4 linked regions of the Rattus norvegicus genome follow. The protein of the gene in region 4 interacts with the protein of the main gene of each other region in a pairwise test. Links are inferred from orthologs where the notes say so. Each region holds a gene or a part of one and is shown on either strand. Other genes may lie near its edges. The genes, in order: Ap1s2, Ubl7, Ap1b1 and Ap1g1.

Region 1 (7,778 bases), on a different chromosome or scaffold from region 4:
TCTTCACATCATCCATGTGGCCATGTTTTAGATAATTTATAAATAATTGTATGTACATTGGTGATTTGCCTACATGCCTATCTGCACATCTCTTGTGTGCCTGGCTTTTAGAGAGGTCAGAAGAGGGTGTCAGACCCCTGGGAACTAACATTACAATTAGGAGCTGTCATGTGTGGGTGCTGGGAACTGAACTCGAGTCTTCTGCATTAGCAGCCAATGTTCTTAACCAATTAGCCACCTCTCCAGCCCCATGTGGACATGTTTTAAACACTGCACTGTTTTTCCCTTTTTGTTTAGTCATAATTTGAGATGGAACAGACATAAAAATGGATGGGTATCAGAAATTTAATAGGATACTATAATTATTTATTAAAACCTTAGATATTATAGTATCTTAATTTTATTACTAAAAAATAGCATCTCTATTTTACCCTCACATCTTGTATTTAGCAGACATGACGGCAAAACACTTTTTGAAATTTAACCAACAATACAAATTCTGGTTATTAATTTTTCACACATGATTATCGTATAATTTTCCACGTTAACATAAAGAAGGCAATATCACCCTGAAAACAAAGACAAAGGAATGATAAGATTATATATTGACATGACAGATGAAAAAGGTAGTAGGTCAGAGGCAATATATATATATACACATATATATGTGTATATATATTTATTTATTTAAAACAAACCCTACAATTTGAGAAATGTGGAAATCAAAGTCAAACTAGCTAATTACTAACAAAGATGGTAGCCGTGCTTCCTTTTGTCTTTCACAGTGAATGCACCATTAGCACTTCATACTAAGACTGGGGAATAAACCATCTATAATCTACTGAAAAAGACCATCTGCTTCTATAAATTTTGTACTCATATACTTGCCAAAGGAAGAGAACGTATTAACAAAATAATGGGCCCTGCTCTGTTAATTGTAGGTTGTTTGCAGTTTTGCTGTTGCTATTAGAATTTAATAAGCCATTCCTTCTGCTAAATTAATAAGCAGCCAAGATTATGTAATAGCTGCTTTCAGCTGCTAATTATTTTCCCATAATTCCTTCTCTACCCCAGCCCTTCCTTCTCTCTCTCTCCTCACTCCTCTCTCCTCTCTCTCTCCTCTCTCTCTGGCTAGGAACACAGAATGAAACTGCCAATTAGCAAGTCTCCCATCATTTCCCGAGCTACTACTAACCAACGTTAGTAACATATCCAATCAATTTAAACTTGGGAGGTGACTACTTAGGAACCTTGGAAGACAGGTGTTTTGCACACAAAAAGAAAAGGCAGTGTTTAGAATTAGAAGGCAGTTTTTCATTATGTAGTATTAGTGCTATCTGTGAATTGGCTAAAAAACATCGGTTCCTTGTATGAAGGAAGAGAAAGGACATTAGCATTTCAGGGGCATGTTTGAACAGGAAACAGAAATTTGGGCCGGGGGGGCCTAAAGACCCACCAAAAGCCAATTCTGCTTTTTGTTGCTCACTTTAGTATATTTCACTCACACGTGCTAATATGAAACTTTCCAAGCAGCATAGTATTGCTGGAAAAGGGGAAATATTCTAGTTTTATTTTTGCTAAACAAAAGCATTTACAAAATGACCTCAAATTCCTATCATATATGATCCTATTACATTGGTACTGTAAGACATAAAAATCAACATTGATCTCTAATAAGGGGTTTCTTTAAATTGAATAAACACAACTTCGCTAAAAATGTAGCATCTTTTCCCTTACATTGGTTAATTTACAATTCCTGTTTAGCAATCTCTGCAAAGAAAGGCATACCCAACAAATACTCAGTTCTGGCTTTTTTTTTTTTTTTTTTTTTTTGTAGGGACGGAGGTGACTGTAGTAATGAGTAGCATTTGACATGGGAAATCCATCGCTGCCCAAGCAAGGTCACCTAATCCCGTGGATCTCCACTCCCCTTATCTATAAATGATAAGTTGAACTAGATGATCCATCCATTCCAGCATTCAAATAAAACATAGAAATCCATCATATGCCCAGAACTAAGTCAACATTTCAGCTTTTAATAAATCTATCATTATTTTATAATTTTATTAGGCAACTCACATTTATCAGTGGTGTTAAAACCAGGCAGGGAGCTAGATTGTTAAACGAATAAAATCCAAGGTGCACTAAACAGAAGCATGTGGGTAAAAGAGGAATTCGTTGTTCCAGGGCTTTAGAGTGAGGCTTCATAGATGTGACATTAGAGGAAGGGCATGGCAAGCAGAGCGAGTCGTCAGCAAAGCTAAACTGGAACCCGGGTTGGGGAAGGTGGGGGCGAGACCGTGAGAAGGAAGCGGGATCTGGAGGACTAAGCGCTGTCTGGATTTTTGCAGCAGAGAGCGGACCACAACTCATCCAGTCCGCCGCACTGCTGGGCGAAGCAAGCCCTGCAGAAAGGCTCTTGCAAAGCTTGGGGCCAGAAGTGTCTAGGTTAGCTAGGGCTGTAGCACTGCGTTGGAGAGGAGGGGCCTCCTTGCAAACGCGGGCGCGAGCACCACGAAAGCGCTGACTTATTTTCCCCAGAGTTGCAGCACTCCTGTCCTTGCTCCCACCATCATCACCCACTGTCACATCTCCCCGTCCAACCCTCTGGGGACCCAGAGAGTCATCGGAGCTCGAAGTCAGCTCTTTGTAGTGCGGACCATCCTTAGCCTGCACCACGGGGTCAGCTAAGGGCGCCGCGGAACCCCATCACCCTGCCACTGAGGAAGCCAGGACAGCCGGGTGCGCTGCGTCCCCGCGGCACGGCCATAAGTACGCAGGCGTGCCGGCCACAGCCAAAGCCGCTTCCGGGTCACGTGGCCAGACTTCCGGCCCTCGCCACGCCTTCCCTGTGGCCATTTGACCAATCGGCTTCTCGTTCTTGCCGGCAACTGTGCTGACTCTAGAGGCGGTTGGCGCCCCCTCGGCAGCTTGGCGCGCGTCCTCTGGTCCGCCTCTCAGCTCACCGCAGCCTGGGCTCCTCCTTCGTCCAGCCTCCAGGGCGGGATCTGTTGGCTCGCCCTACCCTCGCCGCCTAAGCCTGCCCTCCACCAGACGGGTCCCCTCCCCGCGGCACCACGGCTTCCCTTCAACAGCCTGGCGACGGGGGCTTCCCCTCAGCAGCTGCCGGCGCCTCAGTCTCCGCAGCCAGCCAAGCTCCGCCGCGTCCGCGGCCCGCAGCCGCCGTAAGTGTTGAAGAAGTCCGCTGAGGTGGCAGGGATGGAAAGAGGGAGAGATGGCCGGGGCGCGCCCCCCGTTGCCCCGTGAGCGCCCCGACGACCCCACCCCGAGTCCTCTTGGGGCGCCGCGCCCCAAAACTCACTTCTGGCGGCGGTAGCGCCCCGCTCTCCACTCTGCGGCGCGCCGGTGATACGGGGGACGGTCCTGGGTTCCACGGGGACCCCGCGGCACCTGTGGTTCGCTGATCGCCTCAAGTTTGACGGGGTGTTTTGGGGAGGGGCCGGGGTGGTGGCGACCGAGGACTTGGCGCCCCTGGCGGGCCAGCGGATGCCATTGTCTCTCTCCACTCCTTGCCGGTCACATCGCCCAGCTTTGGGCACTGATGGAGTGTGGTCCCGGGAGGAGGGGAGGCGTCCAAGACTGCGGGACCCCAGGGATGCTGGACCAGAGCCCACTCCAAGGCTGAGCTCATTGTTGTTTTTTGTTTTGTTTTTGTTTTAATACCAATCTGGAGAAATTGTTGTCCCAGGATTTGAGGCAAAATCAAAGCGAGGGAAAAGGAATACTTGTGCCACGGGTTTCGTCCCATGTTAGCACATCATTTGTTTTGAGGAAAATGCTTGGTTTCTTCGTTCTACAAAGTGTTAGGGCGGATACTAGACCCCGTTACAGATAGCCTAGAGCACACCCCTGTCATTAGCAAACCGTCTCTCCTGGTCGAGATTTAAGAAAACCGATCGGTTCCTTTCCCAAGTTCTGTTAACGGTCGGCGTTCAATGTCCAGTTGATGCTTTACTTGCCGTTCTCTTCGATGCCGCTGTCTTAAGGACTTACACGGGTAGCACTTTGCTCTCAATGAATTATATAGAGTGTTGTGTGGAGTAATAGCCAATTTTAACTTTATTAAAGTTAAATGGCTACGCCATAAATATCCGGATGTTTTCTTGGTGCCTTTTTGTTATATTGTGAGGTGGTTTTCCTGTCGAAATTTAGAGCCAATTTGATTTTATATTAGTTACGTAAATTCCTCCTCCGTGTGTTCATGTTTAAGGTAGTGTGGTGAATATTAAGAATTGTCCTTGAGAGGATCTTACTTGCACTGTCACTGTTAAAGGAACTTAAAAAGGTTAAAACAGAACACTTATCCGAATTTTACCTTCAAATTAGCTTTACAATACAGCCCATTTTTACCAGTTGAATTATAAAATACATGCCTTAGAAAACAGACTGACCAACAGACATGCAAATGCTAAGTAAATCCATACAAATTAGCTTCAATATAAAATATACTTGAATCCAGCATACATTCGAATGTGGTTTCTGTTTGTTTGTTTGTTTTAAAAGATGTATACTGTGTGATGTCTCAAAATGTTGTTTTAAATTAAATATCCTGTGTTTCAATATGGGTAACTTTTGGGTAAAGCTTTTTAAACTTCTATTCTCTTTTACAGACATTAACTCAGTTTTTGAGTGCTTATTTATGTTGTATTTTATAAAAGAGAAATGAAAACATAAAAAATCAGACTTTTGTCTTTAAAATGTACTGTGAAATATTTGACTAATATTCTGTTTTGTTTAAAATATGCTAGCATAAATTGAAGGGAGTGCTTGAAATTCCGCCTGGAACTAGAATAGCCTCAGGGTGAAAATAGTAGGTCTCCTCTTTCCTAGAAATGTACCTAAATCAGCTACCTGATGTCTGCATTTTCCTTTGATGCATGTAGAGTGGTGGAGTGTGGAACAGGTAGAAAATTGTTTCCTGAAATTATCAGAGTTTTTGTTCTTCAAAAAATTCACTCCAGCTTACCACCTGTTCTGCTTTTTACACACTCTCTTCTACACTTACCTACATACATATAGTAAGAAGATCTTTCCAAAAGAATTCCATGCTATTATAACCTCCATAGAAATGTTGATGGCTTATTGATCATTTGTCAGGGCGTTTACTGTGCCCCCCAAAGCGGCTCTGAAAATCATGTGCTCTTAACTGTTGCTCCGAGGTAATTGTATGTAATCTTGATTTTATTTATTTTAACAGATGCAGTTTATGTTGCTTTTTAGTCGTCAGGGAAAGCTTCGACTGCAGAAATGGTATGTCCCACTGTCAGACAAAGAGAAGAAGAAAATCACCAGAGAACTTGTGCAAACCGTTTTAGCACGGAAACCCAAGATGTGCAGCTTCCTTGAGTGGAGAGATCTGAAGATTGTTTATAAAAGGTAATCCTTTTTTTATTTATCAGAAAGGTGAAGTACTGTCAAGCATTAGGGTTATTTCTAATGAGGAAATTGCAGACTTTTAGGTCAATAAACAAAGATTAATATTTAAATGAAATAAATTTGAAGGAAAACTTTCCATTTAAAAATAAGTAACTGCTATTTTGATTGCTTGCCTTAGGGGAATCATTTTTTAACTAATTATATAAACAAGAGAGACAATTATTCATGCTTAATCACCATTTTAGAATAATTTAATAGATTTATTATAGGAGTAAATAGGGTCAGTATTTTAAATTTTTAAGTACTTTAATAAATTCAGATATGCATAGATAACAGTGTAATAACTCTTTCTTACAACAAATTTATAAAATAATAACCGATATTTGGTATTTCTTTTCTGATATTTAGAATCAATCTTATTCATAAATACCCTGGACACATAGACTATCTCATTATACAGATATTTAAATACTTTGTATATATACAGTATCTCTTTCCTAATAGCATTTATTAATTTGAAATAGACTTGTTGCTGTGAAGGAGTTATGCTTAGATATGATAATTTTACCACGGATGGATATTTTTAAATGATGTTGCAAAATAACTTATTAAAAAATAGCTTTTTGCACAGTTCTTTTCTTTAATGCTACACATCTTTATTTTGTTGGTAAACAAACATTTTCTAAGCAGTTTAAAAGAAATATAATTTCTTTTATATAATGTTTTTGAAGGAACATTTCCTTATTTCTTCCCTTATTTCTGATCCCCTTTGAATAATTTACTGAATTTAAGATAAAAGCATTTCTTCATATAAAACATTCTCTTGTATGGGGAGTGCTCAGAGAACTAACAGTATGGAATTCAATGAAGGTAAAGAGAAGTCTAGTTTTCTATCACTACATTTCAAATATGGATGGGTTTTGTGGAGGAGGTGGCAGGGGAAGTCATGGAGATTAATAGGACATAGAGACACTCTTAAGTACATTAGATTTCTCTTCCTTTCATAGATAAATTCATATCGGTTTGGGTGATTTTGTATCCAACGTTTGGCTTAGTGTTTGTTGAGAAAGATAATAGCATTTGCAAACTGGAAGATGCCTTAAGAACACACACACACACACACACACACACACACACACACACACACACAACCTTTTTGCCCAAGGATAGAATCGTGAATAAAACACGTAGAAAAGAATTGCTTTTCTAGAATCAGAAATAAGAATCCTGCACCCTGGATCAGTTGGTCTCTGCTCTCTGCACAAAAGACAGGTCCTGGATTTGAAAAACAGTTTATTGTTCAAATTTCAATTTATAAAAGATGAGAATTTGTGAGTGGTGAGTTGGCCCAAGGTCATATACTAGTGATGGGCTTGTAGATATGGAAAGATAGAGATCAGGTTTGCACTTTCTGCAAAGACTGAGGTAAAAGTGGCTGAGGAGTGGGCTGAGACTGGCCCCTGCAGGATCAGTAGGGGACTGCATCCGAATTGGTTCCTGAGCTGAGAGCCAGAAAGGAGACCTGTTACGTAGGAAAGAGGGAGTGGAATCACCTTCATTTTTAGAGTTTGGCTTATGGGAAGTAAGGTAAGCTAGGAAATTCAGTTAATGTGCAGGCAAGTTGATGTGGCCTTTATTGTTCCCTTGGCCCTCTGATGGGATGTGGTGGGCATAGACGTGGAACTTGAGTGTGGAAGTTAGCCATAAGGTTATCAGCCAGCATGCAGCTGCAGGGGGGAGTGATAAAGACAGATGGAGCCTGCAGATTGAAGTGATAAAGAAGCAAAAGAGTGATGTCAGGTCAGTAAAGTCACAGAGGCAGAGAGATACGAGAGTAAGAACACTAATTCCAGGTTCCCATGAAGTTCGCTAAAAGTGGAGAGCTCTTCGATTCTTGTGGTGAGAGTTTTATGCCTTGACTTTTGCCAGAACATTTTCAGTGGAGGTAGAGACAGAACTTTGGATATAATGAGGCAAAGGTGGAGAGGTAGAGAAACGAAACAGCATGTATAGAGTATTTAAGAGAGCTTTGCCAAGGACAGAAGAGGTTGTAATTATCCATAGACATGAATTCTGGATTGCTGGACAGGGTTTATAAAAGGTGTGAGAAGTTTAAGCTTATTTCTAGATAGTGAAAGGAGTCCCCCGTGTGGAGGAGGAAAATCCTAGCAAGAGAACAAGCCCATGAATGGGCCATTCGAAGGGGAAAGGAAAGAACAGGTTGGAGCACATAAACCTGCCACTCTGCCCAGGCCCATTCATCTCCCTGCCTTTTTCAGAACTTCAAAAAGAACTCCAACCTGATCTGATACTTAGAGCAAAGTTTTTTCAAATAAAATTTGGAGTTGACAAAGAGAAAGATAGCTTTATTGAGATGTTTT
Region 2 (7,761 bases), on a different chromosome or scaffold from region 4:
AGAAGAAGAGAAGCTAGCAGATCCTCCTCCTACAGAAAAGCACCAGCTCTACAGTGGATGCTACTGTTTGCTTCACCCCTGTCATTTGGGACTGAATCTTACTATTTAAACCAGGCTGGCTTTCAGTGAGCAACCTCCTCCCTTGGCCTGTTATTCTAGGACCACGGAATTATATCATCAAATCCATCTCCTTTTGGAAGAATACTACGGGAGAAAATATCTAAAGTATATCACTTAAAAAACTTTCTTTTCAGAACTAAATTTACATTCCCCTCCCAATAAAAATTCCATTTGTTTCAAAAATAAACCTGCAGATGACACAGGGAGGAAAAGGCTCTAAATGTCCTAAGGCACAAGCTGCTAAGAATATTGGGTGTCTCTGTAACCCTTTTTGGAAAGAAAGGCAGACAGACCAAAATAAAACACAAACCCAGAATGATCTGGGTTCATATCCTAGTTCTAACACTCATTTTAATTAGGTGACTTTGAACAGATATACTTCCGATCTTGTTTTTATCTATAAAGTACTAAGTGTTATTTATCTACCATGTCCTGATTGTGTAATATACTGGAAAAAAAAAAAAAACTAGCTTGCAGAAACCCACAGCTGTTCACTCTCTTCAGTCAATGTCCTCTAGCTGAAGAGCAGAGAGACAGACCTGTCCGGAACAAGCTGGGCTCGATGCTCAGTATGTAGAGGAGAATATATACCATGAGAACTCCAGAGCAGCTCAATCAGAGGATATTAGAAAAGTCAGAGCATCTGGGCGTGGATGTTCTTCTCTGGGGTCAATTTTATTCTTCTGCTTTTAATAGCCGTATTCAAGAAAAAAGGCCAACCTGAGAGAGGTAAAAGCTCAAAGTGGAAGAGGCACAGTCACGCTCATCAGCCAGGGAAGGGGTGTGATCTCTGGGTGTTTGGACAATGAATAGCTTTGTCTCTGTTCAGAAATGCCAAGGATCTTATCTTCCACTTGACTCATGATAGTCTCAGAATCTCCTTGTCTGATCATGGTGACCCCTATAGCAGAGGGCTCCAAAGTCTGGCTGAGAGCATCACACCAATCCTAGGATGCCAGGCTGCTTCTCTCTCTCATTTCCCAATGGATACAAAAGAGGTTTTTGTTCCATTTAGAATTGAAAAGATAACTTTCAAATTAATAACTACTCACAACAGACACAAGCAAAATAAAAAATATGCCAAACTGCTAGTTTAACAAAGCTGACTTCCTTTACATAGCTTAGCTTTATACTCGGAGACACTTTTAGAGCACAAAGACAAGATCTAAATTGTAAATTCCAAGCAGCAATGTGCATTAATAGACTAAAAGGCTTTAGGTTTCTTCAGGAGCTCCCTGAATGCTGGTGGAAATCAGCTATGAGCTCAGGAGGCCTGACTACTCAGCTTACGGAACAAACAACTACCTGGGGGAGTTTGTGGGAAGATCTGCTTAATCAAAAACAAACTGTAGCATTACAAAAACAAAGTAAGTTTTGCTTTTGTCTAATGAGCACAGCAACAATAATAAAAGGATGTAAAGTTTACAGAAAACTCAACTGTTACTCTAAAGAGTTTAAAGAGGTCCACACACACTACACTGTTAGAAAACAATGGTTAATGAACTTATAAGTTAAAAAACAAACAAACAAACAAACCCATCTATCATTAGTGGTGCTGACAGTAACAATGTCACATCTTATCAGTGGGGATCTAATCCGATGAGGAAAAGATCCTGCCTATCTCCATCTTGATAAATCATCCAGGACTGTATCTCAGGAATACACAAGCTCTTCCCTTGGAGGGATTAGGAAGTTCTGCCCAACCCACTGAGGACAAACCCTCCCTTACCAGGTTTCTGATCAGGCTCAGGCCAAGATTTTCGGAGAACATGAACTGTGGATCCAGGCTGAATACCATAGAAGTCAAGAGTCTGGTCATCTTTAAGCTTCCGGCCACAGTAGATCAAATCTACAAAGAAAACAAACAAACGAAACCCTGCCCATTTATATTTTCTTTCTCAAAGCAATTTGGTTTCTATCTCCTGAGAATCTTATTTTAATTAGACAGGTCTCAGGAGAGAGGGAAGCACCTCAGTGGGTAAAGAGCACTTGCTCTGCAAGCATTAGGCCCTAAGTTCAAGTCCCCAGCTCCCACACAAAAAGCCAGGCATGGCTGCACATGCCTGTAATATCAGTGGCTAAAGAAGGAGTGCAAGCTGATCAAGAACTTGCAGGCTATCCAGTCTAACCCAAACTGGAAGAACAGGTTCAGTGCAAGATCTCATCTCAAGGAAATAAAGTAGATGAGAGAGGGGAGCACCTGAGATCCCATTCAGGTCTCTTCATGTGCATGAAGTACGCATGAATGCATACTCTTGCACACTCACATACATGTACGACATACACACAAAAGAAGACACTCTCCCAGGTGCAGTGGCACATATCTATAATCTCAGATATTTGGGAGGCTGAAGTAAATTTGAGGCCAGCCTGAGCAGTTTATTAAAGATCGAAAAGTCAGATAAACAGGCTTTGGGTACAGTCAGAGGCAGACTAGTTATCTAGCATATACGAGGCCCTGGATTCAACAGTCAGTGCCTATGAATGCTGGGGGACATTAAGATAATACATTTTGACTGCTGGCATTCAAGAAGCAGAGATAAATGGTGAGTTTGGGCCAGCCTGGTCTAAATCCTAAGTTCCAAGCCAGATGGGGCTACAAAGTGAGACCCTGTCTCAAGATCATACAAAACCCCAACGTTTAAAACAAACTAATCAAGTACAAATGCTTATTTAAGAAATATATCCACGTACTCCTGTAGAGCTCAATACTGCAGCGAGTGCTTAGTCCAAATAAATGGGAAAAAAATTAACAACAAAATAAGAGGCAGCTACTCCATCTGTGACAGGAAATGTCTGCACCAGGTAGAAGCTTTGGCTCTCATAATTTATTCCCAATCTAATCTGACTGTACTGTACTTATGTCCTCCCTCCCCCCACTAGGAATACCTTGTCAACCTCATTTCCTGTTTTGCTGCCTTCCCTTTAATCAGCCATCAAGGCCAACCAAAAATCCTTCTAATTATCCCTTGAGCCTTACCTGACAGGCTGAGGAGTCTTGTCTCACCAGCAACTCTTTGCTAATTTTGTTCTCTCAGAGAAAGACCTCAGCAATATCACAGCGAAGAGCCTTCAGTAATAACGTAGCTTGGTGTAACATGAGACTCAAGTGGCAAATGATAGTTTTGTGTTTCTACTCATATAAAACTTAACTTTGGAGTGAGGCAACAAACCACAAGCCCTTAATTTACTCTTTTACCTCCTCTCCCAGAGGCAAGAGCAGCAACCCAGCTGTAGCCAACAGAGACTCACCTATCAGCTCCGGGTCTGGAACAGATTCCTGGAGCTTGCCAGCAATAAGCTGCTTTAGAAACGAAATGCTATAGCCCCCGAGGGAATATTCTCCCAGTTCTGTCTCTGGCAACTGAAGAATAGATTTGGGAGCAAGTGGCTGGTCAGCCAGCTTCACTGCCAAGTGCCAGTCTGAGAGAGACATCCTCTCTCTCTCTCGCTCTCTCTTTCTCCCTGTAAAACAGTAAGGCATTAACGGTTAAAAGACAAACCACCATCCTACTCATCTCTCCCTGCGACAAAGAATAAAGGAAAGACAATGTCAGTGCAATACCGCTACAGAAGCACGGGTGTAATGTTAAGAGGCTAGTGGTGGACAGCAAGGAATTTCTCTATGCCTCAGTTTCTTCACCTTTAAAGTGGGCACAAAAGGCCAACCAATTGGATAGGAATGTTGTGAGGGTCAAACAAGATCATCCAACCCTATCCCTTTTACCCACTGATTTCTGGTGTTCTTCACCTTTTGATTTAGCTATTACAATGCTTTAAGGAGCCCTTGCCTCTCTTGCCTCCCGCTATCAGAGATCTATAGCGCCACCCAATGCCATATTGTTAAAACACAGATCTAACTTAGAAGCTTAGACCGCCTTCATTGATTCCAAAACACCTCTATGATCAGGTTAACTCCACAGCCTGGATTACAAAACCATTTATTCTTACTCCTACCAGCTTTCTTCAACAGACCCAGCCCTGCCCCTTTATAACAACACAGGTAAGTATACTTTATAACAAAGTTGTCCCATATATTTCCTCTCTTGGTCACACATTCCCTCTTCCCTCAAGGTAAGAGAGCAACACAAATCAACAGATTTGAGGACAAGTCAGCCAGCTTCATTACCAGATGCCAGCCTTAAAAAGCTATCTTCTCTTCGCTCCTTTTTCCTTATAAACCGTATTTACTTCGCAATTTCTCACTGCTTCCCTCACACCTGTGACCCGCCCCCGCCTCCGCCCCCTTTCTTGAAAGCCTTGAAAGCCAAGACTAGAGCTTTTCTTTTTTTTTTTTTTTTTTGGTTCTTTTTTTTCGGAGCTGGGGACCGAACCCAGGGCCTTGCGCTTCCTAGGTAAGCGCTCTACCACTGAGCTAAATCCCCAGCCCCGACTAGAGCTTTTCTAATTCACTGTTCCAAGCCTGGCATATATGAATGCCCACAAAAATAAATCTAATAACTCAAAAGAGTGCAAGAGCCTTGCATCACAAAGCAAGTCCTTGTTATAGACACCATTTCTTCCGAAGAGGTCTCTTGCGGTAGAGACAAGACTAAGAAAAAGCTGTGATGCGACCCAGCCAACTTCAAGGTACTATCCATCTACAGGTTTAAAGCGAGGAAAGAGTTGGACTTTTTGTATACCGATCTCGATCCTCGTAACTGTCCCCTGAAACTGGCATCACTATCCTTATTTTACAGATCAGGAATCAAGACTCAGAAAGCTGAAGTCACTTGGCCCAAGGTCACAGATACCTAGTCGTGAGTAGGGACAGTGTTGACAACCCCACCTCTCTCGTGGGACCAGTTAGCTACTCCGGACCCACGAGAGCCCCGCGCGCCCAGGGGGCCCAGCGCCCTCACCCGTCCCGCGGAAGGAACCCGGCCGCAGCAAGCCGCCGGTGTAAACACTCACTCTGGTCCTCTTGCCGGAAACCGGAAGCCCCGCGCTGCATTCTGGGGGCTATAGTTTTCACTGAGGCCCCGCCCCTTATAAATGGCCGTCCAGTGGCTAGTGGTAATGCTTCCGGTTCCTAGGAGGCGTGTGTTCGAGCACTTTGAGATCCTAGGAGCAAGTAGGTTGTAGTTTTCTGTCAGACAAAATGTACCAGCTGAGGTAGGGAAACTCGGTGTGGGGTTTTCGTAAGCAGTCAATAGTCCGATGATTCCCGCGCTCTCTGGGATATTTTTGAAGCTTGTTGGTTGTCCCGCGTTTGGGTGGGCCGTAGGCCAGAGGGCGGACCTTCTCCGAGGGGGACCGGTTCCTAAGTGGACAGGAGCCCCGCGGCCCTTTCGATGTAGACGCACTTCTCCCACGTAGTCAGTCTCCTGTACTTCTTGCTCCCTTCTCCCAGGGAACCTACCTTGTGGCAGCGCACCAGGGCTCCAAAAGTTGAGTCCGTAAGAGGAGTGATTAAGTCGGGTTTCTGGCCCACCGTGAACATGCAACAATGGGGTTTATAACACAGTCATTCATAGAATCTGTTTGGGGAGGAGAATTTCCACTGAACTGAGACACTGCTGGTTTTACATGACTGAACTGAGAAACTTCTGCAAGATCAAATTGTATTGTGTTTACACAAAAGTTAGAATTAGCTAAACTCAAGAGAGTACTGATTGATCTCAGAACATTAATTCGAAAACTAAGGAAAACGATAACCAAAACCAGAAACCTACTTTAAAACTGTGAAGTTGAGGGACTGGTGAGGTGGTAAAGGCAGCAGGTAAAGGCACTTGCATTCACACCTGAGGACTTCAGTTCCCCTGGGAACCACGTGGTGGAAAGATTGAACTGACTCCCCAAAACTGACCACACACACACACACACACACACACACACACAAATGTAATTTTAAGAAATAAAGTTCCGGCTGGAGAGATGGCTCAGTGGTTAAGAGCACTAAGTGCTCTTCCAAAGGTCTTGAATTCAATTTCCAGCAACCAAGTGACTCACAGCCATCTGTAATGGGATCCGGTGCCCTCTTCTGGTGTGTCTGAAGACAATGACAGTGTAAATACATATATAAATCTTAGGGGGATAGTTCACAAAAGCTGAATACTGATTCTGTGTACACAGGTGTAAAAGCTATATCCTTGTACAGTCCACCATAGGACAGAACTCGGGGAGTAACTGAGTAGGATAGCTTGACAGAAAAAGCAAACTACACATACATGACTACCCCCTCCTGTTCTTATAAAGTATGCATGCTGGTAGGCAGTTTCACAGTTCCCAAAGTCCCTCTTCCCTATCCCATGCATCCACTTTTAAATATAGCCCCTCTTTCAGGAATTCCTAAGTGGCCACCCTCTTAGCCAGTTTTCTGTCTACTAGAGTACTGACACTTAAGCTCCACGCTTTATTTCATTAAATTTTGTTTAGTACTGTGTCTTAACCGTTTGCTGGAGATGTCAGGAATCCTATCTCTTCTTGTGTTCTCAAAATGGTGCTGAATGCTTGTGAGATTCTTTTGTTTGTTGTCATCATAATCTTCATGGAAAAATGGACCCTGACGGTCTTGTTTGCCTTCCATAGGTGATCTTTACCTGAAACATAGCAGGTTAGCAAGAAATATGTCTTGAATGAATAATCCAGGCCAAAGCTATTTATCAAATATGGCTGCCTTATTGTATGTATTGCAATGTGAGGATGCTGCGGATGGGCAAATTAATATAGGAGTAAGCTAAGATCAACCACACAGGTTCTGTGTGGACCCAGTTAGCAAGTAAGTACTATGCTCCCAAGCAAAGGTCAGGTCCTAGAGAAGGAAGGAGAAGCCTGGACATAAAGACAGATGTTTGGCAAGAAGGAAAGAGTTCAAAACCAGGTCCTTCTGCCAGTTCATATTTGGAAACATTGATATCCTTGTCAGACTAAGAAAGTGCTGGATGATCATTCATTAAACACTCAAGATACTATTTGGCGTAGTCAATAATTCTATTGAGAAACAAGTTGCAAGAATGGACATTTAAATTTTTATTAGTATTATTCTGGGGGAGCGCATGAATGCTCACAGCAAAGGGTGTAGGTGGGTGTGTGTCCTGATAAAAGTGTAGAGTCGGGTGACAGCCTCCAGGTGTTGAACCTCACCTTTCCATCTCACTTAAAACAGGTTCTCTTCAATGCTATGTAAAGCAGGCTAGATGGCCTAAGGGCTTCTGTACAGTCTCCCCTTTCAGCTCCCCCATCCCCTGGAATTACACTACTGCCTCTCTGTCTTTCCAGTGGGTACCTGACCCACTAAGCCATCTCCCTAGTTCAACATTATTAGTTTTGAAATGATGTTTAACAAGCTTAATCAAATATGAGGATTTCGGAGTCTCACAAGAAAGCAAACGAGGGGCTGGGGATTTAGCTCAGTGGTAGAGCGCTTGCCTAGGAAGCACAAGGCCCTGGGTTCGGTCCCCAGCTCCGAAAAAAAGACCAAAAAAAAAAAAAAAAAGAAAGAAAGCAAACGAAACTCACCTATAACAGTTCCTGCTGCAAACACGAATGGTGGAGCTGGAGAAATGAGGCAGTGGTTAAGAGCAATGACGTATCTTACTCTTCAAGGCTAGCAACTTCTCTGTGTCTTTGTACTTTTGTTTTCATTCAGATTGACTTGTTTTACAATTTTCACTGTTGATTATTATTTTCCTGGTGACT
Region 3 (7,180 bases), on a different chromosome or scaffold from region 4:
CAGACTCTACCCATCTAGCCGGACCCTTTCCTTGGGTGCAGTGACTTCCTAAGTCACCTCCTTAGGAGGAAGACAGGAGGCCGCCCAGCACTCTGTTCTACTCCCCCTAGGCCTTGAGGTTATGCCAAGTCCATCATCTCTCAGCACCTCTAAGGTCTCAAATAGTGAGGATTTCAGTGGACCTATGAACTTTGTCCCCATGCAAACTGCACACATAACATACATGTCTTGAGATGTCAAGGGCTGAGCAGGCTCTGAGCTGCCCGGTGTCAGGGCGAGGCAGCACTGTGCTCCCCCTCTCTGAGGCTGACCAGTGTACTGACCACTGACCTGGGACTCTACAGCACTGTAGGATACTGACAGTGTCCCTGGTCTCTGCCCACTCGATGCCAGTAGCAGCCTCAGGTTGTGAGAACCAAATATATCTCCAGACATTGTCAAGTGTCCCTAAAGGGAAAGGTACTCTGGTTGAGAACCCCTTACACTCTTCAGGCTTCCTACATGGTGACAGATCAGTCTTCCCCGAGGGTCCCTGTCTCCAGCATATGGCAGACGTGTGTGGCAGTCACCTTACCTTTTCTGTACAATGAGGTTAATATTGCGCAGAGCCACATACTGCAACTCTGGCTCTGCTGACAGCAGTGTGACCAGGGGAGGGGCCAGCTTCTTGAGTAGTGTGGCATAGTAGTCCAGGTCCTTAGACAGCATCTCCATGAACTTCATCAGGACCTTCACTGCGGACAGCACCACAGCAGAGTTGGCATGGGAAAGCCTAGGAGTGACCCGCTCGCAGATGCTGCGGTCAGCAGTCACAGTAGAGCAAAGAGAAGGAGACAAGGGAAAAAGGTCCTTTTTCACTTTTCACAGCAGCATGTCTTTTTGGCTTTTGTTTTGAGACAGATGTAACCTAGATGGGCCTTAAACTTGCTATGCAGCCCATGAGCTTCTCAAGCCAAGGTTGTTTCCTACCCCCCACCCCCTTTTCTTTTCCTTCCAGTAGTAGCACTGAACCTAGGGCCTCATGTCTGAGACAAGTGTTCCGCCACTGACTTTAACACTCTGATCCTCTTGCCTTCATCTCCAAGCGCTGAGAAGACCCACCACACCACCAAGCGTGGTTCATGCAGTGTGGGCACAGCTCAGGGCTTCATGCATGCTCAGCCGTCACCCTACCCACTGAGCCACAGGAAGAAGGCCTTCTTGTCTGCTACCTACTGAGTCACAGGTCCAAGACACCATGAGCCTCAGTTTCCTCATCTGAGAGTTGATGCACTCACATATCTACTTCACAGGCTTGTAGGCATGTGAGTGAACAGAGTGAGTAAGAGGCTGGCACACGGCAGATACCTCCAACTGTCAGCTCTTTCCCTCCCTACTGCCAAAGCACTCACTCATTGGTCAAGACAGATCCAGCTGGGTAAACTACACAGTTCCTCCTCTCACTAATTCAGTCTCCTTGTCTGTGAGGTGGTCAAGGATGATAGGATACGTTTCACAGACTTGCTCTAAAGATTACCTAACACTGAAGGCACCTAGCAGAGTCAAGTACCTAAAAAAGTCAGTGGTTCTGAAGCTACAAAACTTGATTCAGTTCAGACAGATCCTTGTCAGTTCCTGGCCAGGGTTTGTCTGCTCACCTCTGGGCCTCACGGTCATCCTTGGGCATGTAGTTCGCCAGACAGTCCAGAATGAAGATCTGGCCCCACTCGGTGCACTCATTAAGGGCTGTCAGCAGCTTGTTGATAGACTGTGGGTTCAAGTCAAGCAGGTTGCTACTGGGGTGAGACTCAGCGATCTCTGACAGGGCAGCCACTGCATTTGCTACCACCTGGATGAGAGGACAGAAGGGTAGAGGCTGGAGGTACTGCTCACGTCAGGGAGCACAGGGGCTAATGACACTAGGAGATCAAGATGGCACATTCTGTAAGGACTACAGTGTGACCCTACTGGACATTCCGTAAGGACTGTGGTGTGACCCTATGGGACGTTCTGTAAGGACTGTGGTGTGACCCTATGGGATGCTCTGTAAGGACTGTGGTGTGACCCTATGGGACGTTCTGTTAAGGACTGTGGTGTGACCCTATGGGATGCTCTGTAAGGACTGTGGTGTGACCCTATGGGATGCTCTGTAAGGACTATGGTGTGACCCTATGGGACAGTCTGTAAGGACTGTGGTGTGACCCTATGGGACAGTCTGTAAGGACTGTGGTGTGACCCTATGGGATGCTCTGTAAGGACTATGGTGTGACCCTATAGGATGCTCTGTAAGGACTATGGTGTGACCCTATGGGATGTTCTGTAAGGAATATGATGTGATCCTATTGGTAGGTTCTAGAGCCTCAAGAAAGTCTGGCCTACAGCAAGCACTCACCCCACTGATCCTCTGTAAAGCAAAACTACAATCAGTACATCTGCCATTGGAAAGAGGGAAGCCCAACTCCAGGGACCTCACACTGAAACACAAGCCCGCCGCCCTCTACTGGCCAGAGTGCTCACTGCAGTGGTTGTCAGCTGTGCTGCTCAGAGACAGAAGTCCTGCAGATCTACCTCTTCAAGGCTGCTGGTAGGGGATGGGTGCAGGCTAAGGAGGGTTTACCGAATGTTTTGGCCAGGACAACTCCTTTCCTGAACAGTCTACAATGTTTACAACTTTCCTCTATGACACAGTGTTCTAGTTAGCAGCCTTTAGTTGATAAGCAATCGGTGTTTCTGTTGGATACAAAGTGGGAGCAGTGCCCAGTGTTTTAAATATTCCATTGATTTCTTACAGAGTTTTCAATTTTTAGAAAAGATCTCGTTTTGTATAGACGGCTGGCCTTTAACTTTCAATCCTCCTGACTCAGCCTTTTGACTGCTGGGATTACAGGTCCCAACAAACTTCACTGCAAACTCCTGCCATCAGAATGAGTGAGGGGACGGGGTTCCCAGCTAATGCATCCTGGTGTCCTGTTCTGCTCACTGTAGTACTGTAAGGTGACGCCATTTCAACCCTACAAGAAAGAGGACTACATGCCTGGAAATGACAGGAAGTCTTGGTTAGGAGTTACTGACATGACAGCAACTGGAAAGGGACAGACAATAGCACTGACTGTAGTCACTGCTTGCCGGAGCAGGCCAGCTGAGGTCAGGTATGTGACCTCCTGAAAATCTAACAATGAGACAAACAGGGCTCTGAAAGATTAGGCAGCTTTCCTAAATATAGCTCGTTTGAGAGGCCACTGGAAAACCAGGCCTCGTTCCCTGCCAACTACCGCAAGGAGGGAGCACAATTAGATATTCAGCGAGGGCCTAACTCCTAAGGTGGAAAGTCAGGTTGTCTTCTCAAGCAATCCAGGTCTGTGGAGGCATCACGATGACTGTTAGCAACTTACCATGGGGTTAGAGTCAGAGATGAGGTCTTTGAGTGTGTCCAGGAAACCCTGGTCCTCTACCAGCTGGGCGTTGATGTCGTGGAGCTTGGCTACACACACAGCTGCTGTCTTGCGCACATATGGGTCTTCATCCTTCAGGCATTTCCGGAGTGGTTCACACAAGTACTCTGTGATCTTGTCAACTCGGATGCAGCCCATAGTCCTCACAGCCAGGGCCCGGATAAGGGGGTTGGGGTCCTCACAGTCCTGAGGAGAACCAGTCATTGGCCAGGGGCAGGGCAGGATGAGTCATCTGTGGCTTCCTATTCTTCCTGGCCTCCAGCTCTGAGCAACATCAGGCAGCTGCTATGGGATCTCCACTGCCCACAGCCAACAATACTCAAAGCAAATGCCACAGAATGGATGCCAAGCATTTGCCACATATGGGCTCTATACCCTTTCTCTGCTGCATCCTGAGGCCATTTCCCAACCAAGGAAGGCTTTGGAGGTGGTTATGGGCTCACCCAGTCAGAGCAGACTGGCAATCCGGACCTCCATGTTCCTAGCACCATAGTCTTTTCTTTTGGAGACAGGGTCTTGGGATACTACTCAGATTGGCCTGGAACTCGCTATGTAGCCTAGCTACAACCTATTGTCATAGCAATTCTCCTTCCTTAGCCTCCCGAGTGCTGGAATTAAAGGCACACACAGCCACAGAAACCCCTAATTTTCCTGTATGTGAGCATAGTAGACTAGGAGCCAACGTCCAAGTTCATGCTTTGCTCCTCATCTGGGAACAGAAACACAGAAAGGAGTCATATGGAGGGAACGGAGCTGCTCTCGGGTGCTTCCTGAAGTCTGTGCTGGCAGCAGACACAGGAGAATGAGAGACCAGTGGGCCTGGTGCCACCTCACGGGGACTGAATGAGGCGGTCTTTTGGTCTGTGGTTCTGGAGAGAGAGGGAGCCCTCTGCTGGAGGGAGAGGGCCTCAGCCTGAATAGGCAGAAGGAAGCCTGTGTGTGAATCTGCAACTGAGCCCGGGTGCTAAGCACTCCGGACATGAGAGAGTGAGCAGTCTTCACCTGTTCCCACTTCCACCAGGTTTCTGCTCACCTTCACGAAGGTGTTGACAGCCATAATGGCCATGTCAGGCTGACTCTTGGCATAGTTCATCAAGTACAGGTACACCAGCTTCTTTAGCTCCAGGTTGTCTGTCTGCATGCAGTTCACCACATCAGGGAAGAGAGCACTGCAAGATCAAGGGAGCACCAGAAGAGGCTGAAGACTGAGAACAGTGGGCTTTTCAGACATCTAACTGCAGGGTAGGAAAGGGATGACAGGGAGAAGCAGGGGAAAGTTTCTTCATTTGTAAAGAAGGGGCAACAGAAGCTGACTTTGGCTAGGGTTGGGACTTAATGGTAGAGCACTTGCCTAGCACACACAAGGTCCAGGGTTCAATTCCCGTACTGCTCCCCACCTCCAGAAACCCACTTTTCCAGGCCTTTGTGATACTTAAAAGAGCATTCCTGGTGGGCTGGAGAGATGGCTCAGTGGTTAAGAGCATTGACTGCTCTTCCAAGAGGTCCTGAGTTCAATTCCCAGCAACTACATGGTGGCTCACAACCATCTGTAAAGAGATCCGATGCCCTCTTCTGGTGTGTCTGAAGACAGCTACAGTGTACTTATATACAATAAATAAATAAATCTTTAAAAAAAAGAGAGAGAGAGCATTCCTGAAGCTTCTGGTCTTTGCTGAATTGTCATTCTCTGTCCATTCCTTACACTCCATTGGTCCCATATAGAGCATCTCAGGGAAGCAGGGCTGAGGGAACAGTGTGGCACCCACAACGAATCAGCAAGGTATATGGACACATGCTGTGTGCCAGACTTGGTGCTAAGGAGTGGACATACGTCATCTCCTTTAACAGCCCCAGGAGGCCAGCGGTGTGTTCCCATGTCAAATAATTCTGAATTAAGAAATGTCCAACAGTGGTGGTGGTGCATGCCTTTAAAGAATCTTATTAATCTAACACTGACCAGGCAGAATGGCACATTTAATCCCAGCAGAGGCAGGTGGATCTTTAAGTTTGAGGCTAGCCTGGTCTACAGAGTTCCAGGTCAGCCAGGGCTACACAAAGAAGCTCTGTCTTCAACTCACACGACCACCTCCCAAAATGTCAGACAACATGAAGAATCAGATCTATGACCGTTGCTGTACTTGGTAGGACTCTTTCCAACAGGTCCCATAATGGTCCCAGAGTACAGGCCTTGAGATGTGAAACGCACAGATGGGTTTTCTGGAATTTGAGCCATCATCTGTCTTTATTACCAAGAACTAGGAAACAGAACATGAAGGGGGTGCCACACAGGCCAGGTTCCCTCAGAGCTGCAGAGGACAAAGTAACCTGGGAAGATGACACACCAGAAGAACAGAAGCACTGTGGAGAGAGGAAGAGGAAGTGAAGAGTCTGAATGGCTCTCCAGGAGTCATGAGCAGAGCAAGCTCTTTTAAGGAGGAAGAACAAAGCTATTTTCTGTTAGAAAGTGACAGTACTGTTCTAACTGAAGAAAACCTTTTCCTTCTAGAAAGTATGAGACTTAGAGATACCCCATCTTTCAACATATTTTAAAATTACAGTTTATTGAGTGTGGGTGTGCGTGTGTGCACACACTAGGGCACGTGGGCAACAGCACACATGTGGAGGTCAGAGAACAAGTAGTAGTGGACAGCCTTGTGGGTCCTGGGAATTGAACTCAGGTCACCAGGCTTGGTGGTAGACACCTTCACCCCCTGAGGCACCTCATATCCCAGACACCAATCCTTTTACACTCTGTTCTAACAAGGTCTGTGCTAGGGACTCTCCTAGACTGGCTGTAGGAAGGCCTTCCTAAGGTCAGCAATGGCGTGGGCAATCTGTGTGGAAGCCTGGGACAGTGGGGCATTCTGTAAGGTCCAGCTAGGGAGTATCAGAACCTCTGTGGTATGTGCAAGGGACCATGACACACACAGACGACAAAGTCTGGGTTCTGAAAGGCCCAGGTTTGATTTCTCTTTCTGCGTTAGCCGTGTGACTATTTCAGAGTAATTTTCCTCATTGCCTCATTTATTTTGGCAGAAGAAACATCATTGCTCACAATGGGCCGTGTAGAGAACCTGAGAAAATGCATCTGAAGGTTTTCTGTAGATGGGCCAATGAAAATACAGAGCAGTTGTGAAATGAACTGTATCTTCTGGAGACTTCTCAGTTTGACAGGCAGTTTGACACAACCTCATAGGACATGAAGACTGACTAGACCAGGTGCTGAGTGTCAGAACAGAGAACGACAACAAAACATACTTCCTGTTCTCAGGAAAAACAAACAGCCCAGAATGCCCAGCTGTACTGTGCCCATTTTCCTCTGGAGCCTTGGATTCTGCTGCACCCTCTGGGATGCCAGCTGCCCTCTCAACCTAGTCTGCTCCACTCAGTTCTTGTCTGAGCCATTAGCACTTCAGCCTGTCACTCGTGTGCAAACAGAATCCTGTGTTTGTAAATGAGGTTTGTCCAAAGGAGCCAAAGAGCCGACCTGCACCCAAGCTATGAGCCTCAATATTGGTCAGCACCTGGCTGTCACCTGCCTGCTCCTGCATACCTGACATCTTTGCCCACGGTCATTGATGCAATCACTTTCTTTACTGCCTCCTTCTTCTTCTCCTTCTTGTCACTGTTAAGCTCTGCCTTCAACTCGAAGATCTCCCCTGAGGAAAGGAGACAGTCGTGAGCAGTTTACCCCATGCTGTAAGATGACTTTTCACACCAATTCCCCAGAGAACTAGGTGGAGATAGAG
Region 4 (7,778 bases):
GGAAGGCAGCGATAGAAGAGACTGCCCCAACATGGTAGCAGGCAAGAACCCTCAAGTTGCCCTCTGGAGACTGGAGATGCTCAGAAGTTAAGAGCACTGACTGCTCTTGCAGAAGACCCTGGCTTGATTCCCACCACTCACATGGGGACTCACAACTGTCTGTGTAACTCTAACTTATGGCCTTCATAGGCACCAAGGATACATATGATGCCCAGACATCACACATGCAAAACACCAATACAAATAAAATACAATTTTGGTTTAAATTTAAGTTGTCTTCTGACCTCCACACTCTCCACAGCATAAATATGCATGCACTCACAAATACATTCACAGAATTTATAAAATTTCAAAATATAAAGTGATAAATAAGAGATAAAAGTAATGGAGATTTTTTTAAAAGCCTAAAATCAAGGCCTGAAAACAAGTCATACAGCATTAAGATTAAAATGCAGGTCAGGTATGGTTGTACATACTTTGATCCTAGGAAGAAGGCCTAGGCAGTGAGAACTCTTGAGTTCCAGGCCAGTGTGGTCCACATACTGTGTCCAGGACAGAAAGAGGGCTACCTAGAGAAATCCTGCCTTAAAACAAAGAAAGAAAGAAATTAATAGAATTAAGATGCAAGCACCTAACATAAACAGATGGATGGACAGATGGATGGATAATAGATGGATAGACAGAGAGACAGACTGGTAGATCAGATAAGGCAGATAAGTAGATTAGATAGATAGGTAGGTAGATCGGTAGACCAGATAAGATAGATAAGTAGATTAGATAGATAGGTAGGTAGGTAGATTGGTTGATTTGTTTAGACCAACACACAGCTGGAGCTCCCTAGAGGCAAAGTCAGATCCCTGAAACTGGAGTCACAGACAACTGCAAGACGCCATGTGGGTGCTGGGAACCAAACTAAACCTTGATCCTCTGAAGAGCTGTGAGTGCTCTTAACCACTCATCTCTCCATTAAGGTTTTATTTTTACATTCTCCCCAGCTAAATCTAAGAGTTTTCAATGTTTAATCAGTTATGTCCCATTATATATACAAAATGTAAGTCTCTATCAAATGCAAAAAGGGATTAAACATTTGAAATCTGTCTTGATATGCAGATTCCAATTCAACTTTTCAAATTAAAAATAACTTTTGAAAGAACTCATTTAACCTTTTATGCCTACAAAAGGATTTTTTTTAATGATCCATTTAAACTATTTGAGTTTTTATCTGCTTTGTATACTGTTTAGTTTTTTTAGGAGGTAGGGTAGGAGGTAGAGTAGGACAGAACCTACAGCTTTAAGTATGCTAGGCTAGCACTCTACCATGAAGCTACATCCCACTACCTGACTTTTTAAAAATAAGCCTGGGTTAAATATCAGCAAGACATTAATGGAAACCTCTATATTTTACAGTTTTATCCTAAAATTCACCCTTAGATTATATAGTTGCTGTCAGCAAAACAGACTGAATCAAACATTTTCCTTTACCAAAGCAACTGAGTGGAGCTGGACACACATCCTCGGAGCCTGCAGCCTGCAGCCCCAACACTGGGAGAAGAGAAGTATACAAGTCCCGCCAACCTGAGCTACATAGGAAGACTGTCTCAGAAACCAAAGCTGGGCCAGCACTGCTGGCAGAGGCCTGTTAATCTCAGCTACTCAGGTAAGGTAGGAGGGTCGCAAATTAAGGCCAGCCTGAGCAATTTAGCAAAACCATGTTTCAAAAAAAGGGAGGGGAAAAGAGGGTAAGGAAGAAGGAAGAAAATAAATGGAAGTTTACTAAACATAAATGTTAACTTCCAGTGCAATTCTCAACAGCCAAGAGACAAAGTAGACATTCATATACGTGCTGCTCAAGGGTACAGGAAACAGCACTTTGCTAATAATTTGTTTAACAAAAGGATACTTTCTCAAGGTAAACTGTAAACCATCTAAGAATGAATGATATTTAAATCCCAGTATGTTAAACCATACCATGAACTGAGTTAAATAACTATGATAGCTTTCTCAATACTTGTTCAAAAAGTGAACTCAAAAACTGAAAATTTCAGCAATAACAAACAAGGTGACACTGCTGAGTTCTTAAAGCAAAAGAAAACTGCACAACTTCGGAGCAGCACACTCACAGAACTCGTGTCTAACAAGAATTAACCTAGTTCTGAAGGAGCTGCTAAAAACAAATAACAAGAGCACAGAATATCTACACTGAAAATACTGTCCTCTGTGTCACTGTGTGGCCTGTAAAGAACTTACCTTTAAATGTAAAGAACTTACCTTTGAAATGTAAAGACATTTCAAAAGCTTAGTAAGAATAAAGAAAGCATCACAGGGCTGGAGAGGTGGCTCAACGGTTAAAAGCATTGACTGCTTTTAGAGAAGACATGGATTCAGTTCCCAGAACTCACAGGGCAGCTCACAACTGCCTAGAATCCCATTTCCAGGGGATCCAAAAGACCTCCGCTGGAACTGAGCATGCCCGTGATGCACATACTATGTATGCCAGCAAGACACTCAAACATAAAAAAATAAATATGTCTTCCAAAAATGTTAAATACTGCATCAATATAAACTTTACAAGTATTGAGAGATTTAACTTGGTTCATGTTATAAACTTAGGTTTCCGGCCACTCATGATCTCAAAGAAGTTGTTTCTCTTTTGCAGATGAAAAACCTAGGGTGAGATAAAACGGGGGTGATTCAACCACACTCACCTAACTTGAAATGTAGGAAATAACCAGTGAATTATTGTGAAATGTTCTTTATTCAAGCATACTGGACTGCAAACAGACTTTAACAGAATTAATGAAGCTATCATTACTTCAAGGATCCACAGGTTTCAAATCGAACCTTAAGAAGTTTATAGTCTGGCAAATACTACGGGCAACGGTGGAAATGGATGCTTAAAACCTAGCTACTCTGAGAAAAGTCAACATAGGAAGTCAGCAAAGATCATTACTATACAAACACCTGAGGGGTGCGGTCACTAAGAGACCATTCAGCTCGCTCTTCTGTTAACTAATCCCTATAGGAACTAAAAAAGTTATTTTCCTTTCTACCTACGTCAGGTTATTATTCTCCAAGGGCAGCCTTCCATGCTAAGCATATATAACACCAAAAGAAAAAAGTATCAGTAAGTGCCCCAAACTCAGTTTTCAGAACAGAAAGGAAATCCAGAAAGTATTTTTGACAGCTCCTTCCCACCCAAAGCCGCTTGACCCGCTTTAAACCCATTTACTGCTGAAATACACTCTAAGTGGTTCGACGGCTCTCCAGCACTAAGCCCCCTAACTGGGAAGCATAACCGACAGTTCCAGGCAATGAGGAAGATCCTGAGAATTCCTAGAAACTGACGTCCGCAGAACCGAGAGTTGGAGAGGAGAGTGAACAGCGCGGTCGCAGGTGAGTTCTTAAAAAGGAAAAGAGAAAGAAAAAGAAAAGAAAAAAGAAAAAAAAAGGGCGAAAATGTTTGAAAGAGAAGTTAGTTGGAAGGTTAAAGGGAGGCGAGGCCGATGTCCGGCTCTGAGTGGACGGCACTGCAGGGACAGGCAGCTTTACCCCTGCGTGGGAAATGCTCAGAGTTCTCAGATCTGACCCGAGTCCCCGACACAAGAACGCTGATACGTGGCTCAGAGAGGACACGCGGGGGTGGGGCCCGCCCCGCTAAATCCTAGGCTCCCTGAACCAGCTTTCAAAGGAGGATAGCAGCTCGATAAAGTCAATGGGTTCAAGGAGGCCTGCACCGGCCAGACAACCCCAAGGTAGGGAAAGCGACGGCGCACCGGAGCTCCGGTTCTGAAGCTTCCGAGGGTCGGCCCTCAGGAAGTCCGAGCAAGCCCGGGGCTCCCCGGTCCCTCCTGACCCAACCTGGGTCCTCCTCACCCCCCACAGGCTGAGTCCGGACCCCTGGGACTGACAGGAGGTTTCCAGTCAAACGCTCGCAGCTGCAGTGGAGCCAAAGACACAACCAGCTCTCAGTGCCGCGAGTGACACTCACCGGCCCGAAACCTCGAATGAAACCAGCAGCTTCGGGGGCGGCGGCAGCAGTGGCAGCAGGAACCGAACATCCAAAATGGCGGCTCCCTCGGCCTCACCACCGCTACTGCAGGCGGAGGGATCCCAGGCGAGGAGGGAGTTTCTAACTCACTTCTCGCGCTTCTCGAGAAGACGTCGCTCCTCCGCTCCCTCTCCTCGTCCACTCCGCGTCCCTCCAACTGCAACCTGTGCTCTTTCCCACCTCGGATGACCCGAGTACTCGGACCCTGCTGAGGACTATTTGCCGAGGAGGAGGCGACTGCGCCTGGCAGAGCGACGCAAAGCGTAGCAAGGGTCGGGGCTGTCACTGATGACGCTAGACGCGGCTGCCGAGTCACCGCTGCGAGGAGTCTGAGCTAGAAAGGTCCGGCCCTACTCCAGAGTCAACGCACTTTGGTTCCGCTTGGTGGCGGGGTTGGGGAAGTGGTGCAGCCGGGAAACGGTGGGGTCACCTGAGGGGGCGGAGCTCAGCAAGGTAACTCAGGAAGTCAGAGAGGGCATGTAGCTAGTGTTTCCAAAAGAATTCTTAAGTGGTTCGTATCACCTTTGAATCCTTAGCTTTTCTGATCAAATTTAGCAGCATGCCGAGTAGTTTTGGAATCCTTGGTTTTATGGTATCTTCATAATTTTTTTTGCAAAAACAGAAGATGAAACCGAAGAATGGATCCAAGCACAGCACCACCCTTTGTGTGTCAATCTCACCAACGATTCAGTTCCCTCCCGTGAGAAAAAAAGAATCTGGACAAAAGACAGCTAAAACTCTTCCAGAATAGGCTTTCAATCTATGATTGAATGAACTAATAACCTGAAGCAAAGAAAGTCTAACTAGACAGTTCCTGGTGTGATAAATAATTACTAACTTGTGACAAAAGTCTTTTCCATGTGAACCTAGAGATCCTTGATATCTTGGCCCATTTAAAGGAAAGGTGACCTACCTAGAATAAAATCTTTCCGATAGATTGGCAACAAAGCCACCCGGGATGTGAATAAAACACAATAGTAGACTGAATACCACAGACCAGGAACTAAGCACAAATCCTGAGTTTCAGACTTGAGTGTCATAAACAGGAAGTTGCAACTTTTCCCTTAGGCATTCGTTTTTCATGCAAGGATTTCAAAATACTTTACCGACATTGAACTGGGTAAGTCTAGGCGTACAATTTTGACCTTGAATTTCTGGGGCATGCCAAGTGGCTGGAAAGAAAGGACTCCAAGGTCATGATCAAATTTATTAACTATTGGTGTCTCATTGGTCATAATGCACAACCTAGCCCTCTAAGCAATCTCTTGAGTCGAAGTAAGTAACCTAAGTTTACAAATGAAGAGATTTAAGACGAGAGAAATTACAACTGTCTCTCACAATGGATTCTGCATTAAGATGTCATCTTAAACAGAAAACGCACCACACCCCAAACATGTATTCCAATCCAGACCCACTGATTTAGACAACAGAATATTTATGAAATTCAGACCCTCCTACCCTTCTTTGGTGCATCTGCCCTGAGCAGCCCCAGGTACAGCCTAAGACTAGAACATCATAATGCTAGCACTCTAAGCCAGGAGTACTAATGAAACGTGCCAAATTCACAGTGAAATGTCCATAAAGGAAATCTTCAAGCAGAGACGCAAGGCAAAGGTAGCCACGTTTTTCACATGGAAGATTAAAATAGCTTTTAAGAGCCAAAATTAAGTGTTTACCATAGCAAACAACAAAAGAAGTTTTTTCCTCTTCTTTTCCTTCTTTTTCTTCTTCCTCTTTCTGCTTCTCCTCTTCTTCCTCTCCCTCCTCCTCCTCCTCCTTCTCCTCCTTTTCTTCTTTTTGAGACAGGGTTTCTCTGTCTATCCCTGCAGCATCAGAAACTGTAGATCAGGCTGGCCTGAAACTCAGAGATCTGCCTGCCTCTGCCTCCTAAGTGCTAGGATTAATGGCAAAGAGATGTCTTCTTAGGAAGGACTTTGAGGCAGCTGTGATGGCCACATCTATCTGTAAACTCAGTTCCTAAGAGACTGATGCAGAGAGACTGGGAACCCCCAGTAGATAGCCTTGGCTGCATAAAGACTGATGTCACAACCTGCCCTCCCTCCAAGAAAAGCTGAACACTCAAAGGAAAAGCGCAACTTAGGCCCTTTCTCTGTTGTTGTTGTTGCTGTTGTTGTTGTTGCTGCTGCTGCTGCTGCTGCTGCTATTTTCTTCACTTGTATTTTTCTTTAAATTACCACTCTTTGCCTGATGGGGTGGCATACAATGGAATCCCAGCACTTAAGTGTTAGAGGCAGGAGGATCAGAAGTACAAGATCATCCTTGGCTACATAGCAAGTTTGAGGCTAACTTCAACTACATGTGACTCTATCTCAAAAAGATTAAAACAAAACTGTAGATATCATCTAACTATCCTAATGTGACAGATATTCAAATGTTATTAAAATTAAGTTTGAGACGCTGGGGAGATGTTTCGATAGTTAAAAGCACCTGCTGTTCTTACAGAAGACCCAAGTTCAGATCCCAGGTCTCATGTCCGACCACACCAGCTACCTACAACTCCTGCAGCACAGGGTCTGACACTTCCTTCTGGCCTCCAAGGACAACATACACACATACACACTCATAAATAAACACTTTAAATCTTTTGGATGAGCTTCCTAAAATTGTACACATACATGGAAAAAGATTGAGTAACAACATTAAAATATGAAAAGTATTTGCTTCGGATAGGAGGGTTATTAAAAATGTATTTCGAATGAGTAGACATTTATCAATAAAAGTTTTCACATTTTGAAAAGGAATGTTTATTAGAAAATACTCCTCACCCAACTCTGGTAGTAGGGCTAATGGAGACTTGAGACAGACTCATGTACCTCAGGCTGGCCTCAAACTTACTGTTTAATCTTAAGATGTCGACTCCTCATCTCCCAAGTATTAAGATTGTAGGTGTTCTCTTGCACACCTGGCAAGAAAATGCAGTTTTATGTAGTGTAAAAATAGTTTTAAAAAAAAAAACAGGCTTTTATGTAGCCCAGGATAGCCCAAATTATCTGTATAGTTAAAGACAAACTTGAGCTCCCGATCCTCCTGCCTCTGCGTCTCAAATGCTGGTATTACACCGTGTCTAGTTTATGCAATACTTGAGATAGACCCCAAGACCTCGGACATGCTAGGCAAACACTTTACCCAATGAGCTATCACTCCAGGGGCTGTGTTTGCTGTGTTGTGTTGTCTTGTTTGCATGTATGGGATCGAACTCTTGGTCTCTTACATACTTGGACAGCTCACACTGAGCTTTGCCCCTAGCCCCTGGCTTTTGTTTTTTGTTTTTTGTTTTTTTTTTTTTTTCAAAACAACAGTCTGCAAGATGAAACAAACTTTCGGAAGAGGCAACAGCTGAGAGAGAAGATTGCCATTTTTATTTTACACGTTAGAGTCTCACAAATAAAAACAACAAACCAAAAACCAAACTAATAAGACAGACAGTAGGAATTCTATCTTTGCTTGGTTTAGCTCACTTTGTAGGTGTTTAACACCTCTGGGCCTATTATTCAGTTTTGTCATTTATTTATGCTTTCCCTTGTTCCAAAATGGGTTTAAGGAAAATTTTATCCAAAGGGAATCAAATACATAAAGACACTTTGAAAGTTAAACCATAGTAATAACACAAGCATGAAACAATTTTATATCACACCGGAATTGAGCCAAGGCATAGATAGGCTGTACCCTGTACCTGACAGGAGCACACTGTAGCTGACAACTTTCACAC

What was found.
Region 1: the proteins of Ap1g1 (region 4) and Ap1s2 interact in binary tests that used the Homo sapiens proteins (3 or more experiments, as listed by UniProt). The link is inferred for Rattus norvegicus from reciprocal best matches to the Homo sapiens genes AP1G1 and AP1S2.
Region 2: the proteins of Ap1g1 (region 4) and Ubl7 interact in binary tests that used the Homo sapiens proteins (3 or more experiments, as listed by UniProt). The two-hybrid records come from large-scale screens. The link is inferred for Rattus norvegicus from reciprocal best matches to the Homo sapiens genes AP1G1 and UBL7.
Region 3: the proteins of Ap1g1 (region 4) and Ap1b1 interact in a two-hybrid assay, tested with the Homo sapiens proteins (2 studies listed by BioGRID, with this or other methods). The link is inferred for Rattus norvegicus from reciprocal best matches to the Homo sapiens genes AP1G1 and AP1B1.

Annotation. Positions count from the first base shown.
Region 1 is NC_086039.1:34,225,970-34,233,747, reverse strand, and holds the start of Ap1s2 (AP-1 complex subunit sigma-2), read left to right. Parts: upstream 1-3,063; 5' UTR 3,064-3,185; intron 3,186-5,218; coding exon 5,219-5,397; intron 5,398-7,778. UniProt on the Homo sapiens protein: Subunit of clathrin-associated adaptor protein complex 1 that plays a role in protein sorting in the late-Golgi/trans-Golgi network (TGN) and/or endosomes.
Region 2 is NC_086026.1:67,214,435-67,222,195, reverse strand, and holds the start of Ubl7 (ubiquitin-like protein 7), read right to left. Parts: upstream 5,029-7,761; 5' UTR 4,983-5,028; exon of another isoform or gene 4,875-4,982; intron 3,586-4,874; 5' UTR 3,557-3,585; coding exon 3,373-3,556; intron 1,970-3,372; coding exon 1,850-1,969; intron 1-1,849.
Region 3 is NC_086032.1:84,116,022-84,123,201, reverse strand, and holds part of Ap1b1 (AP-1 complex subunit beta-1), read right to left. Parts: intron 7,091-7,180; coding exon 6,985-7,090; intron 4,601-6,984; coding exon 4,465-4,600; intron 3,618-4,464; coding exon 3,372-3,617; intron 1,829-3,371; coding exon 1,638-1,828; intron 797-1,637; coding exon 575-796; intron 1-574. UniProt on the Homo sapiens protein: Subunit of clathrin-associated adaptor protein complex 1 that plays a role in protein sorting in the late-Golgi/trans-Golgi network (TGN) and/or endosomes.
Region 4 is NC_086037.1:54,650,634-54,658,411, reverse strand, and holds the start of Ap1g1 (AP-1 complex subunit gamma-1), read right to left. Parts: upstream 4,312-7,778; 5' UTR 3,989-4,311; exon of another isoform or gene 3,883-3,988; intron 3,753-3,882; exon of another isoform or gene 3,622-3,752; intron 3,394-3,621; exon of another isoform or gene 3,257-3,393; intron 586-3,256; exon of another isoform or gene 477-585; intron 1-476. UniProt on the Homo sapiens protein: Subunit of clathrin-associated adaptor protein complex 1 that plays a role in protein sorting in the late-Golgi/trans-Golgi network (TGN) and/or endosomes.